Oryzias latipes: one gene and its partners. The protein of the gene in region 3 interacts with the protein of the main gene of each other region in a pairwise test. Links are inferred from orthologs where the notes say so. Each region holds a gene or a part of one and is shown on either strand. Other genes may lie near its edges.

Region 1 (4,170 bases), on a different chromosome or scaffold from region 3:
TGAAGCAATATAAAGGAGGAAAAAAGGGAAGAAAATATAGGACAAGGCTTATAAAGACATTATAATAAGAACAAAGTTGTTGTGGGAAATGCCTCACTTTTACAAACTCAACAGCTCGTGGGGAGAAGTCACAGGCGTAAACAAATATGTTGAGGTCGTCCTCCAGCAAAGGAAAGAGGCAGTTTCCCACGCCGCAGCCAGCTTCCAACAAAACCAACTTCTGGGACTCAAACTGTGAAGCAAAGCACAAGAATAACTGGACATTAGTTTAATAAGCTTGTTTGGCCATCTGACCTACAATATTTTTCAGCATCTTAAACTTTAAAGAAGCATAAATAGAGTATAGTTTAATATTTTAATATTACATTTAAGTAATTAATGTGAATATATTATTCATATTAATATATTTTAATTTATTAATTAATATATGATTTAGGGTTTTAAAAAATGGCGTAATTACTAGATAATTTAACATTTATAAATAATCTGAAGAAGAAGAAAGAAATCCCTATTTGATAGATAGAATGTTCTACATGTTAAATAGAAGATTATTTATTTTGTGAGTATAAAACAAGAAATAGAAACAGATGAAGACTGGTAAGTCCATGTATAAAAGTAATCTTACCTCACGACACTCTTTGAGTTCTTCAAATTCCCTGGTTGTCCAGTGTCTGTCTTTGAAGAAATTTGTGGCGTTTCTTTTGTAAAACAAGTCCCAGTTTTTTCGAGCTTCTTTCTCCAGTTTTATTTGTTTGAACTCAGATACAAGAACTCGCTCAGTTTTGAATCTACCCTGCTCCTCCTGGGTTAAATCTCTGGAGGAAGATGTTTTCGTTTGTCCGGACAGGCATGTTGGTGTGTCGTCCGTAGACTCGGTATCTTCGGCTCGGTTCATCATATTTCCACGCTGCTTTAAAGTTTTTGGAGATTTTTTTCCGTCTTTCTTTGTACAAAGTCATTAATTTACGACATTTTCAGTTGTTATTCCTGAACATTTATGCAGTTTATTACGTTTTCAATAAAACAATATAAAATAAAAGGTTGAATAAGCTAAATCTACAATAAAAAACCCTACTTCAATTTCAAACAATTCTTTTCATTTCCTCTGTTGTGTACGTTCACGAAATCCTTCCGATGAGTGCACGTAATTGCATTCCGCGTTGCCATCTGGCTTTTTATATAAATTGTTTATGAAACTAAAATGTACTAAAATAATTCTGTTTGATAAAAAACTAATCTAAATGCAAATTATCATTTAATAAGACAACCAAGTTTTATCACAGTTTTTGCCGCCGTCTGATCTTAGAGGTAGTTCATAGTCGAACCAAAATCAAAAGAGAGCACAGTGACGTCAGGGATGTTTTGCTAACTGTTAGCTTCTGCAGCTAGTTTTATCTTCCAGTTGGATTATCCTGTTTCTTCCCAGTTGCGACTGTTAGCTCACTTCTTATTACCAATATACGTAAATGTTAGACTTTTAGACAAACTGAACCATGAACGGTAGTACAAACCCGCTGCTGGACAAAGAGGAGCATGTTTTGAAGCTCGGAGAAAGCTTTGAGAAGAGGCCAAAATCTTCCTTTCACACCATCCGATGTGAGCGTGAGACCGCGTTGTGTTTACAAGACCTTTAAGTTCTTAACAAACTCTGGAGTGCGGCTGGTTATCTGCTGTAAATGTAGAGGCTCTCTCTCCAAGACTCTCTTCAATACTTTTCAGTCATTTGAAGATAAAAGCAGTTTGTTTTTTTGGTTGAGCTTTTACACTTTATGCTATTAACTACCCAATACTTATTTTACTACACCAAAGTTTATCTAATTTTTTGTGAGAAACAAGTTTTTTATATTTGCCTCCAACCAGGACTCATTTTTTAGCCTCCAGCTCCACATGGAGTGGCAATTGAAATTCTCCTTCAAAATAAAATGCAGATCCTATCTGTTGTAATAAACACAATCTGGATTGTTGGGGCATAAATGCTGAATAAAACAACTGGATGCAGGGACAACGGTTTATAGTCTTCATCGTGTTTCTTGTTCAGTGTGGTATTTAGAGATATCCAGTTTTTCTCAGAGGATTCGTGTTGCTTTATTGAAGTAGATGTTTGAAGTAGATGTTTCACAATATAGGATTTATTATTGATACCAAAACACTTTTATTGTGACGCCTAGGCTTGGAATTGCATTTTATTTACACTAAAAAGCTTTTCTGTTTACTTTTATTAAAAAAATTCATACTGTTATTCACTCAGGTTCAATCATATTGTTTCCATGACCAGTTATGTGAAGACAGTTTGAAAAATGTAAACAAAAATTAAAATAGAAATGCAAAAAAAAGAAACGATTCAATTGCTTTGAGTCAAAGCCTGTGTTGTATTTTGAACTTGTGTGTCAAAATAGACTTTGGCTGGACTTGGGAGAGAAACCATCCGTGTTACAGAGCTGTTGTAGTAAAAGGGTTTTATGATGCATGTGATGTCCTATTTTAAACACTGACCTCCCCGCGTCACAGTATTCCATTTACTCATTAGTTCACTTTTAGATCTCAGTAAAAGTCACCTTGGGGCATTCTCCGGAGAAAGTGGTCATGTTAAATTCAAACTTTGAATGCAATTGATTTATAGTGTTATAAAACATATTCAATTTGTTTTGTACAGAACAAAAAATTATCTGTATTAAATTAGCATTTTATCTCATTTATTATAGTTGATAGAATTACAAATGCAGCCAGGGAAAACAACCCACATTATTTTTTTCATCTTATGCTAGTATGAAATTACTGTAATTGCTTTTTTGTATTTTGGTTGTTTTTCCCTTCCAGGTAGTTATTCTCCAACTGTAATTATAATTCCATATATGTGTGAATGCCAGTTCACGGTGTTTCCCTCTAAATAAAAAAATAGGCAATCAGGGAGAACACAAATTTGACTCGATACATTTCATTTCCAGATGACTTCAAACCAGCATCGATTGACACCAGCTGTGAAGGGAAGCTACAGGTCGGAAAAGGAGATGAAGTTACAATAACGTTACCTCATATTCCAGTAAGGCTTTCCTCTTTTTAACAATCTGGTCAGAGATGCATGCACATCATGATCTGCCTGATCTCTGCTGACTCATGTTTTCTGTCACAAAAAGGTCTGACAGCTGTTTTGATCAGTCACAGTGCAGTCAAAAAATCTAAGCAATCATGTGTCTAAAAAAATTATGTTCTGAATGTATCCTAGAATTGTGACTGAAAAAGTCTGTTTATCTTCACTATAACACTGCTCTTGAACAAGATGATGTAGTTTTTTTGATTTTGATGTAACCTTCTAAAAGGGCCCTTTTCCAAGCTTTAAATACATAAAACTGCAACTACCTGTTCTTTGTCTTTCAGGGCTCCACACCTCCAATGACAGTATTTAAAGGAAACAAGCGACCGTATCAAAAGGATTGCGTGCTCATCATTAATCATGACACGGGCGAATTTGTACTGGAGAAGCTCAGCAGCAGCATCCAGGTTAAGAAAACAAGGTGGGATGTCAGTGTCCTGGTTTCCAGAGTCCTGCTGACTTTGGGTAGTAGATGTGTATTGTCTATAAGATCTTTAAATTGCTCAAGATGAGGAAAAGTTGGCTGATGTATGTATCTGTGCGAACAGAGCGGAGGGCAGCAGTAAGATCCAGGCTCGGATTGAGCAGCAGTCGGTTCGTTCCAGCCAGCCCGGCTCTCAGTTCCGAGCCCCAACCAAGCCGGGAACTGGGATCAAAACATCCCCATCCCCATCTAAGGACAACCCCTCTCCAGAGCCTCAGCTGGACGACATTAAGAGAGGTGAGGAGGTTCCTGCACTGTTGGTGTTTTACAAAGTCATGATTTCTCAGAAAAAACCCTGCTAAAGATGACAAAGAATGAAAAACATTTGGACAAATGTGAGTACAAAAAAAGACAAGACCTTGAAATATGAAATGCTGATCTTGCTGCTGTCGACAGAGCTGCGGGCAGAGGTGGAGATGATTGAACAGATGAGCAGCAGCGGCAGCAGCAGCTCCTCAGACTCAGCCAGCTCCTCGGGGAGCGGCGACGACAGCAGCAGCAGCGACGGCGAGGGCGATGCTCCCCGGCCGCTCAGCCAGAACTCCCCCAGCCGCAACCCCATGGCCAACGGAGGGATGGAGCGCCAGCAGGGCAA
Region 2 (4,053 bases), on a different chromosome or scaffold from region 3:
AAAATTACAATATATATATAAAAAAAACAAATTTGTAAGTTTAAGTGATTCATATTTAATCATATAGTCCTGAATCGACTCATTCTTTTTGCCATACTCAACCCTCGTCAATATTGCTAAATAACTAATGCTAATAAAGTCAATAGTTAAAAAATTAAAAATCAAACACATATTTACTACTAATTTTTGACAATTAAAAAATGCTGTTTTAATACAATAATGTTTCCAAATGGCAGTATGGATGATGTAGAAAGACGACTTACTGTAAAAATTTGCAGACCCATTTTAGCCGCCTCCTTTTCCTTTTGGGACAGCACCATTTTTCGTGACCCTGCACTTTAGAGGGAAATAAAGATGGAGTCAACTTAAACAAACCACAGACAGCCAGTCACCTTATCTCCTCTGAACAGAAGGTTGAATTCTGCCAAACCTAAAACTGCAAAGAAAAGTCATGAAATATCCAAGAATATTATTCACCAGCAACCTGATTAACAAATCATTTGACTCATTTTAGTGTATAAACTAGAAAAAAAAAAACTATTAACAAACTCCCATTTGTCATTTGGACAATTAAACATAACTTCTGTACATTTGTTCAAGCAAATTGCATTTATAATAAGAAAAAGAAAAGTTGAAATTTTCCTAAAGCAAACATTTTGCATAAAAAAAATCTGTTTTATGACACAGACAAGAAGATAATCTCACCTTGAGCTTCCTAAACCTGAGATACGATCCACATCCTTCTCTTCACCATCAACCTCTTCTCTCCGGCATACCTCTACAAGATCCTGAAAAAAAAAATCAAATTCAACTTACAGGACTTGACAGCAATTTTTCCAATATTGACCAGCAACGTATCCATACCTCTTTAGTAAGCCCTGTTGGTTGTCTCTTTATATTCTTATGGCCTCTAAGTTCAGAACAAGAAACGCAAAGCATCACTTTTTGTGTCCTAATCTTCAAGAAGGTACAGGAAATGGCTTATGGGAAGTCGCACGTACAGGGCAGCCATCAGTGCCTCCTCCTCTGCAGCTCTGACTGCAGCAAGCTCCTCTTCTTTGGACAAAGGAGCACCACCTTTCTTGTCCTTTGCATACCAGGTCAGATCTTTCCCTTTCTGCCATCGTCCTACGGGAGCCATCAAGGAGTTTCCTGGAAAAAACGCAGAAGAGGTCAAACTATTTAGGTAAAGGTTCTTCTTTAAATTCTACATTTCAAATGCCACAAATTCAGAATACAAAATGTATTATGCAGGATTGTTATACTTTATATTTAGACTTTTTCTTTTATCTAGATGTTTTAATGTTTTGCACCAAATAATCATTTCAATAAATCTATTTGACTTTTAAAGATGATCATGGTTACACACATTTAAATGAAAATATTAGCAGTCCAGACTTCTCCAGTAGATGTATCCTTTTGCATTTTCCCCCATAAAGGTTCAAGTGTAAGAATCAAATTAGAATAGAATAGAATAGAATAGAATGGCTTTATTGTCATTGTGCATAGTACAATGAGATTTAAGCATCACCATCAGTGCAAGAACAGTAAGGAAGGGAAAAGTAGTAAAGATAACATTGTAATATAATAAAATCAAACAAGCAAACAAACAAACAGTATATACAAGTGTGCAATATAAGCTGTAAAATTGATATCAGATCAATGTTTTAAACTTCCTCCAGCTGAGTAAACTTTGTCTTTTAGAATATCTCATTATAGACAAGTGCAGTCTTGTTGTTAGACTGTTTTTTTAATTCCAAGTATTTAGGCAATCCACACATAAGGCAACAGTCTCCTGCCATGTTAAGGGTGGGTGTTTTGAGCCTCATTTCTGTTTGACTTTGCACCTGAAAGGTTGTGGTTTTAGCTCATATTTTACACAGACAACATTCAGAAATCTAAGCAGCTATGAGAGCTTGTCGATTTGCTTTTGTTACATGTTTCTCGGTCCCGACTACTGTGGTGATCACTACGTAGCTCTCTCTGGGCATGCTGACCCGCTGGCAGCGGCGAGGGCACAGAGACAACGAACGTGTCGACCAGAGGAGGCATTGACAGCACGTTTTTGCTTTCTTTACGGAGATTAATCGGGATTGATATCAAGCTATTAGATCAAGCCAAGCCTTGTGTAATGAGGAATTCAATAACAAAAGGTAGGAAAACAACCTAATTTTAGGGGGGCCACACGGGGTTTAAAAGCATCTGGAGCTAATCTTTCCTGGATGTGTGGCACGCGCTGATAGCGTAATCGACTGCACGTTATGGACTTACCGAGATAATTCTCTCTGTGTTTATCGACCTTCACTTCATCCCAGTTGAACTGGTCTTGGCCTCCACGGATGCCTCCGGATCTCGATGAACCAAACATCTTCAAAAGGGCAAAAAAGTGGAGATTCGGGGGGGAAAAGTAACACTTAGCTAGCTAGCTAGCAGCTACGTTGGTTAGCAGAGCTGCGTGGTCGGTGCGGGCCGTTAGCGTGGACTCATCCAGGAAGTTTAGATTCCCAGTTTCCACGAAAGAAACCCACACGGCTGCGTTTGTTTCGACAGCAACTTCCAAACAAACAAACAACCCAACAACGCGACAAAGAGCAGAGCGTTAAAGCTGGACTCTCGCGCGCGCAGCTTAAAGTTGCAAAGACCCAACAAACAATTTTTTTATTTAAGTAAAAAATTTAAAACGGTAGATTTGTAATCCTCAGCAATAAAGATCTGACTACTGCAAATAGAAGCAATACAACTTTTTTCCCGACTAACGAGCATTTCCTGCTCCTTTTGTTTATTTCATTTGGTCGCGTCCAGTGGCGCGCGCGGACGTAACGTGTTTGGGTACGTAGTGATGACGTAGGCGTCTCGCGGTGAGGAAAAGGGCGGCGGAGGCAGAAAATGCTCCGAGGACCGTCTGCAGAATCAGAAAAACCTGCCTCCCGATGTACATGAGACATTTTATCAGACTGTTTTCAGGTAGGAATGAGGATTTTTGACTTCCTTTCCTCCTTCTGCTGTTCTGTTCTCTTTTTCCCATCTCTGTGTCGGAACCACTATTCATTCCTGGAGACACTTTGTTGTCACGGAGCTACAGGAAAAGATGGTGCCCAAGAAGTCAACCGGTGTTTTATTTTATTTCAGGATGCATATAAATCCTAGATGGATGATACAACTTTTGATAGTAGCATAAAAACGTCCAGTATCATCTATTTTGTTTAATGTCAACTTAAATTAGGAAACCCTTTGTAAAATGTAATTTGGGAGAAAAATTACATCACTAACAAAATTGTCTTTCTTTTTTCTTCTTCTTTTTTAAAAATATTTATAAGATATCCAGTTTGCTTATTCATGCAAATTAATGCATTTTCTACCATTTGTCACTAAAAATGTGCATTTTGAAGAATTAGAATATAAGCTTATATCTGTGAGATGTTACATACCTTGCAATATTAAAAAAAAAACAAAAAAAAACATTTAAGTTGGAACCAATTTTTTAGGTTTTGGTTTACTGAAAAGTCTGATAATCTGTTGAGCATTTTTAAATGGTATTTATTCGGAGCAAAACAACATTGGTGCAGTTTGACACAACAGACATTTAACATATTATATTTTTAACCAACCAGTGAGATACTAAAGAAATAAATTAACAGAAAACCGTCAAACCCAAGAGATAAAATCAGTTTATTACTTTGCCACAATAATATCTACATTCAAGTAAACAGGACATCTGTAATGCAATACATGTGTATTTTCTGTGTGTTTTCTTAAGGATAATCAATTGATCTTCTCTTAGAACATGTACTTAACATTGATTGATAACATCTCATTTTAATCAATTTTATATAAAAAACAAACATTTTCTGTCAATTTTTTACGTAAAATGTTCTCATTGAATTAATGAAAGTTGTGTTTTGATTTGGTTAAATCACTAGTTATGTGTTAACAGTGTTTAACCAAACTGTCATGTAAACTGAAATGTAGATTAAAAAAATGTCCAATAGAATTTGACAGTGACGCTCAGCCTTTCTGGTTCACGGAGCCGCTAGTGCTTTGTAGGCTTCACGT
Region 3 (3,995 bases):
TCCTTGTTTGCCATTATGACGCCCACTCTCAGGGTGTCAAAGACGGGGTCATTCCGGTTTGGATTATCTGGTGGAATGCAAAATTATTGAGCTGAATCAATAATTTATCTATTTAATTTTGACTGCTTGATAGTAATATTTAAAAAGACTAGTAATGCAGAAGCCTACAGTCCAGGTTAGATGTCACCTTTGAAGATGTAATCTAATTTTTATGCTAAGCCAAAAGGAGATTTTCTGTACAAACTGGTGTAATTTTTCTTTATTTCAATTATATTGTTGAATCAGCTACAGCAATTTTCCAACACAAGTAACTTTCTTTTTTTCAAAATAGTGATTATGATAATCATGTCTATTTTGAGCTAACTTTTCTGGACTCACTTGGATCGGGTTGGTCACTGCCATACAAAGGGGAGCTGTAAGCTCTTCTAAATCCAGGTGGCTAGAAACACAAAAATAAAAAATAAAATATTCATAAGAGTTTATAGCCTTTGAATTATAAAACACAATAATCTGAGTTTGCACAGATTTTATTGACTGTCTATCTATTTGACTGCATATTCTTTGATATCAGTGTAAAATATAACATTTTTTATGATGAATAAAACTCACAATTTTGCCAAAACACTTCTGGAACTCGACATAGGATTGGCATGAATGGTGGATATTGGTTTTGCAGTTTTTACACCTCAGACAAAACTTGTTGTTCACTGCAAGATGTGCAAATGAAAAACAGTAAAAGTCACACATCATTTTGATGTAGAAAATAGCATCACTATGAAAAGTCAATCTAAACACATTTCTTTGGGAAATTTAACAGGACTGGTTGTGTATTTGCGTATCCTGGTGAGCACATACAGACTATCATGCGAGCACAGACATCGCAGAACTTAGGTTTCTTGCAGTAGTGATCCTTGAATTTGTGGGGTTTGTCATTGATCCGAAGAATGGGTTCCGGGGGAGGTTCTGGTTCCTTTTCCTCCACTTCAACTTCCTCTTCATATATGAAGTAGACCTTGAGAAATAGCAGAAACAGCTTAGGCAGAAAATGTGAAACATGTTAAGGGTGGTGTTCATAAAGAATCTCGATTTGTATGAGTCAGAGTTTTGGCAATGAAACAAACTGTCTAGACTACATGTATAAAACTATCTTCAGGGAAATCTAAATCTGAGGTCATATTTTCAGAATTGACAGTGGACTGCAGCCTTGTTCCAACTGGTGGCTATTTTAAACATCCTGGGAATGGCCCTAATGGTGGGTGGTTGGCATGGTGCTGTCACTCACTGTGTCTCCCTCCTCCCTCACTACATTGTCAGGGACTGGAGGATTGTCATGAATATCCACAGAGTTTTTGTCATCCTCCCTGAGATAAATAAACGTGGAAAAAACTATAAGCTGCCGAAGCCACGGATTGGGAAAAAAACACAATTTTGGAATTAATAAATAAAACTCAAAGGTTTACTACTGGTGCATGTTTATTCAGCAATGACACTAAAGGAGAACTTACTGAACTTATTTTACCATGACAGACTAGGGAAAAAAAAACAAGCATCATGGAAACCATGTAATCAGAAGAAAAATCTACTCCAAGTTACAAAAGACACTCGTCTTAAACGATACAATTTTATAAAATAACTTCAGTTAATTATTTTATAGAAATTAATAGGTAGACTTTGACCTCATTGCAAAAAAGATCTCTAATAGTATCACTTATCAAGTTGAGTTTTAAGTTAATTGATAACTAACAAGCTTATAACATTTTGACACTGACGGAACAAATGATGAGTGGATCTGTACTCACTGATCCATGATGCAATGCAGACAAAGTCAACACTTTCCAACCTAGAAATAATGGAACAACGTTTGACATGGGGTTGATTGACTTAAAATTTAGAATTTCTAAATGATTTCAATAAAATAAAAACTTTGGTTTATAAAATATTATATTTTATGTACATCTGAAAGGACCTCTTTTCTTTTTTAATTGTGAGAGTTCATATAATCACTCCCTTACGTTTCTATGTTTAGGATTTTATGACTGCCAGTGTTTAAAAATAGACAAATGCCAATGTAAAATGTATTTAGCCACAGATTTACTTTCGCATGTTTATATTAACCAACCTACAATTTCACACAGCAAAAGTTGAAATATCAAATACAGAAAGAAATTTTTTGTAAAAAAACAAAACAAAACAAATATGCTTCATTATTTTGTGTTTGACAGTGTAACTTGGATTTTGCAAATTGTCACCTACAGCTTTACCCAAACTCTTTTTGGGTTTTGAAATCTCATAATTGCTAAATTTTGGATTTTTTTCTAGTCAGGAAAAAAAACGTAACGAAATCCAAGCTATCATCTTGAACAAAATTGTTTTAAATAAACCACACAGATTTTAAGAGTGGTGAACAATTCACTTAACAAATTTAATCTACTTACAGAACAGAAACAGAAATGGTTATTAACAGGCATTGTTTATATATGCAATGGTAGCCTACCTTAAGTGAAAGACCACGGAGGAAGTTACAAATCCAGTATATTGTCAAAACTCTATGGTGGGTCTTGAGCAAAAGACGATGACTGGTGTGGCGTACGATCTGTGCTACTGACTCCAACAAAGCAGCCGCCCAAAATGTCCTGTCAGTTCAGGCCTTTTGGCCTTTGGTCCCCTATTTGTGGTTTCTTGATATTCGCTTCAGAGGATTTTACACTTTGAATGTAACCTCACTAAAGTAATATATATTTACATATGCCAATATACAAAATAGTGTAAAGGGACTGGAAAGATCTAACTATTTATGGATGCCCAAGTGTGTGTATTTTTGTGCATGGCAGGCTTGGCATTACTGAGTGAACTTGACAGTTTGCAACAGCTGAGTATCTCTCACTAAGCCTGAGTCGGGAGGAAAAGGGGATACACACACTCCCCCCTATCTATCTATCTATCTATCTATCTATCTATCTATCTATCTATCTATCTATCTATCTATCTATCTATCTATGTATATAGATAGATATAGATCTTTATATCTATATCTATCTATATACATATCTCTATATGTATGTCTATGAAGACTCTCATTCATCCAGGTTGGTTCCATTGTAGTAGGTTTAGGGGATGTCATCTGGACTTGGTTTTAAAGTTTAAAATCTCTCTACATATCTATATCTCTATATATCTAGATATATAGATATGTAGATGCATATATATCTATATAGATATAGATATAAATGGATATATAGATATATATGCAGTGTCCTCTGTCAGGACGCTCCAACCTGCGCTAGACAAGCGTTACAAAGGTCCCGTTGCATTTTGGGTACAATATTCCTGACGCGCTGAGTGCGCATGCCCAAAAGAAAACTCCATTATTATTTTTTTTTCTTTTTTCTTTTGCTTGGAATTTGTAAGAAAAAGGGAAAGAAAAAAAACACAAGGAGCAAATGTGAATTTGGGATCACATAGGTCGTTATGGTTGTTGAATTGAATGTGAATTCCACACGGTTCAGCAGAACGGAGACTAAAAGCAACGGCCGGATCGTTGTGGACGGGGAGCGGGACATCCCTCGGTTTTGCTGGGACTCTCCAGAACCAAGTAAATTTCAGTCCTTTAGCTTTGCTAACTAGCATAGCTCGTAGCGGTTACCCAGGAACTCAAGCGCAGTGAAATGAAGCGCTACTGCTCTTTGTTTTTAAACCTGACGGTCAGACGTTGCGTAAATCTTGATAGCTGGTTAACATCGCTAATTCGTGAATTAGATTATGTAATGGTTAAAGTCTCGCTTAATTGTTGAAAGTACCAACCATTTTCAAAACATTCACTGGCTAGTCGCCTTGCTAACTAGCTAACTTGATTCACCCGCGATCCAAAAGCGGAGACTTCAAAACTTAGCCAACACGGAGCTTAATGCAAAAAAGGTTAATCAGCATTTGTTGTTTGTTGTGGCTACCTCCTCTAACGGATATCTGTAAGTAAGTGAATCATAGTAATTCGAATA

Evidence for each region. The genes of interacting proteins can lie anywhere in the genome.
Region 1: the proteins of stac3 (region 3) and eaf1 interact in binary tests that used the Homo sapiens proteins (3 or more experiments, as listed by UniProt). The two-hybrid records come from large-scale screens. The link is inferred for Oryzias latipes from reciprocal best matches to the Homo sapiens genes STAC3 and EAF1.
Region 2: the proteins of stac3 (region 3) and c17h1orf35 interact in binary tests that used the Homo sapiens proteins (3 or more experiments, as listed by UniProt). The two-hybrid records come from large-scale screens. The link is inferred for Oryzias latipes from reciprocal best matches to the Homo sapiens genes STAC3 and C1orf35.

The regions. Positions count from the first base shown.
Region 1 is NC_019874.2:26,172,702-26,176,871, reverse strand, and holds the start of eaf1 (ELL-associated factor 1), read left to right. Parts: upstream 1-1,347; 5' UTR 1,348-1,493; coding exon 1,494-1,596; intron 1,597-2,945; coding exon 2,946-3,040; intron 3,041-3,375; coding exon 3,376-3,512; intron 3,513-3,639; coding exon 3,640-3,812; intron 3,813-3,971; coding exon 3,972-4,170. Other genes in the region: mettl6 (methyltransferase-like protein 6), read right to left, coding at 98-232, 626-898. UniProt on the Homo sapiens protein: Acts as a transcriptional transactivator of ELL and ELL2 elongation activities.
Region 2 is NC_019875.2:27,890,637-27,894,689, reverse strand, and holds the start of c17h1orf35 (multiple myeloma tumor-associated protein 2), read right to left. Parts: upstream 2,824-4,053; 5' UTR 2,369-2,823; coding exon 2,272-2,368; intron 2,154-2,271; coding exon of another isoform or gene 2,132-2,153; exon of another isoform or gene 1,832-2,131; intron 1,187-1,831; exon of another isoform or gene 1,153-1,186; coding exon 1,002-1,152; intron 911-1,001; coding exon 865-910; intron 789-864; coding exon 706-788; intron 337-705; coding exon 264-336; intron 1-263. Other genes in the region: guanylate kinase, read left to right, coding at 2,931-2,964.
Region 3 is NC_019865.2:7,551,759-7,555,753, forward strand, and holds the start of stac3 (SH3 and cysteine-rich domain-containing protein 3), read right to left. Parts: upstream 2,803-3,995; 5' UTR 2,495-2,802; intron 1,841-2,494; 5' UTR 1,808-1,840; coding exon 1,800-1,807; intron 1,362-1,799; coding exon 1,283-1,361; intron 1,013-1,282; coding exon 856-1,012; intron 708-855; coding exon 610-707; intron 440-609; coding exon 379-439; intron 68-378; coding exon 1-67. UniProt on the Homo sapiens protein: Required for normal excitation-contraction coupling in skeletal muscle and for normal muscle contraction in response to membrane depolarization. Required for normal Ca(2+) release from the sarcplasmic reticulum, which ultimately leads to muscle contraction.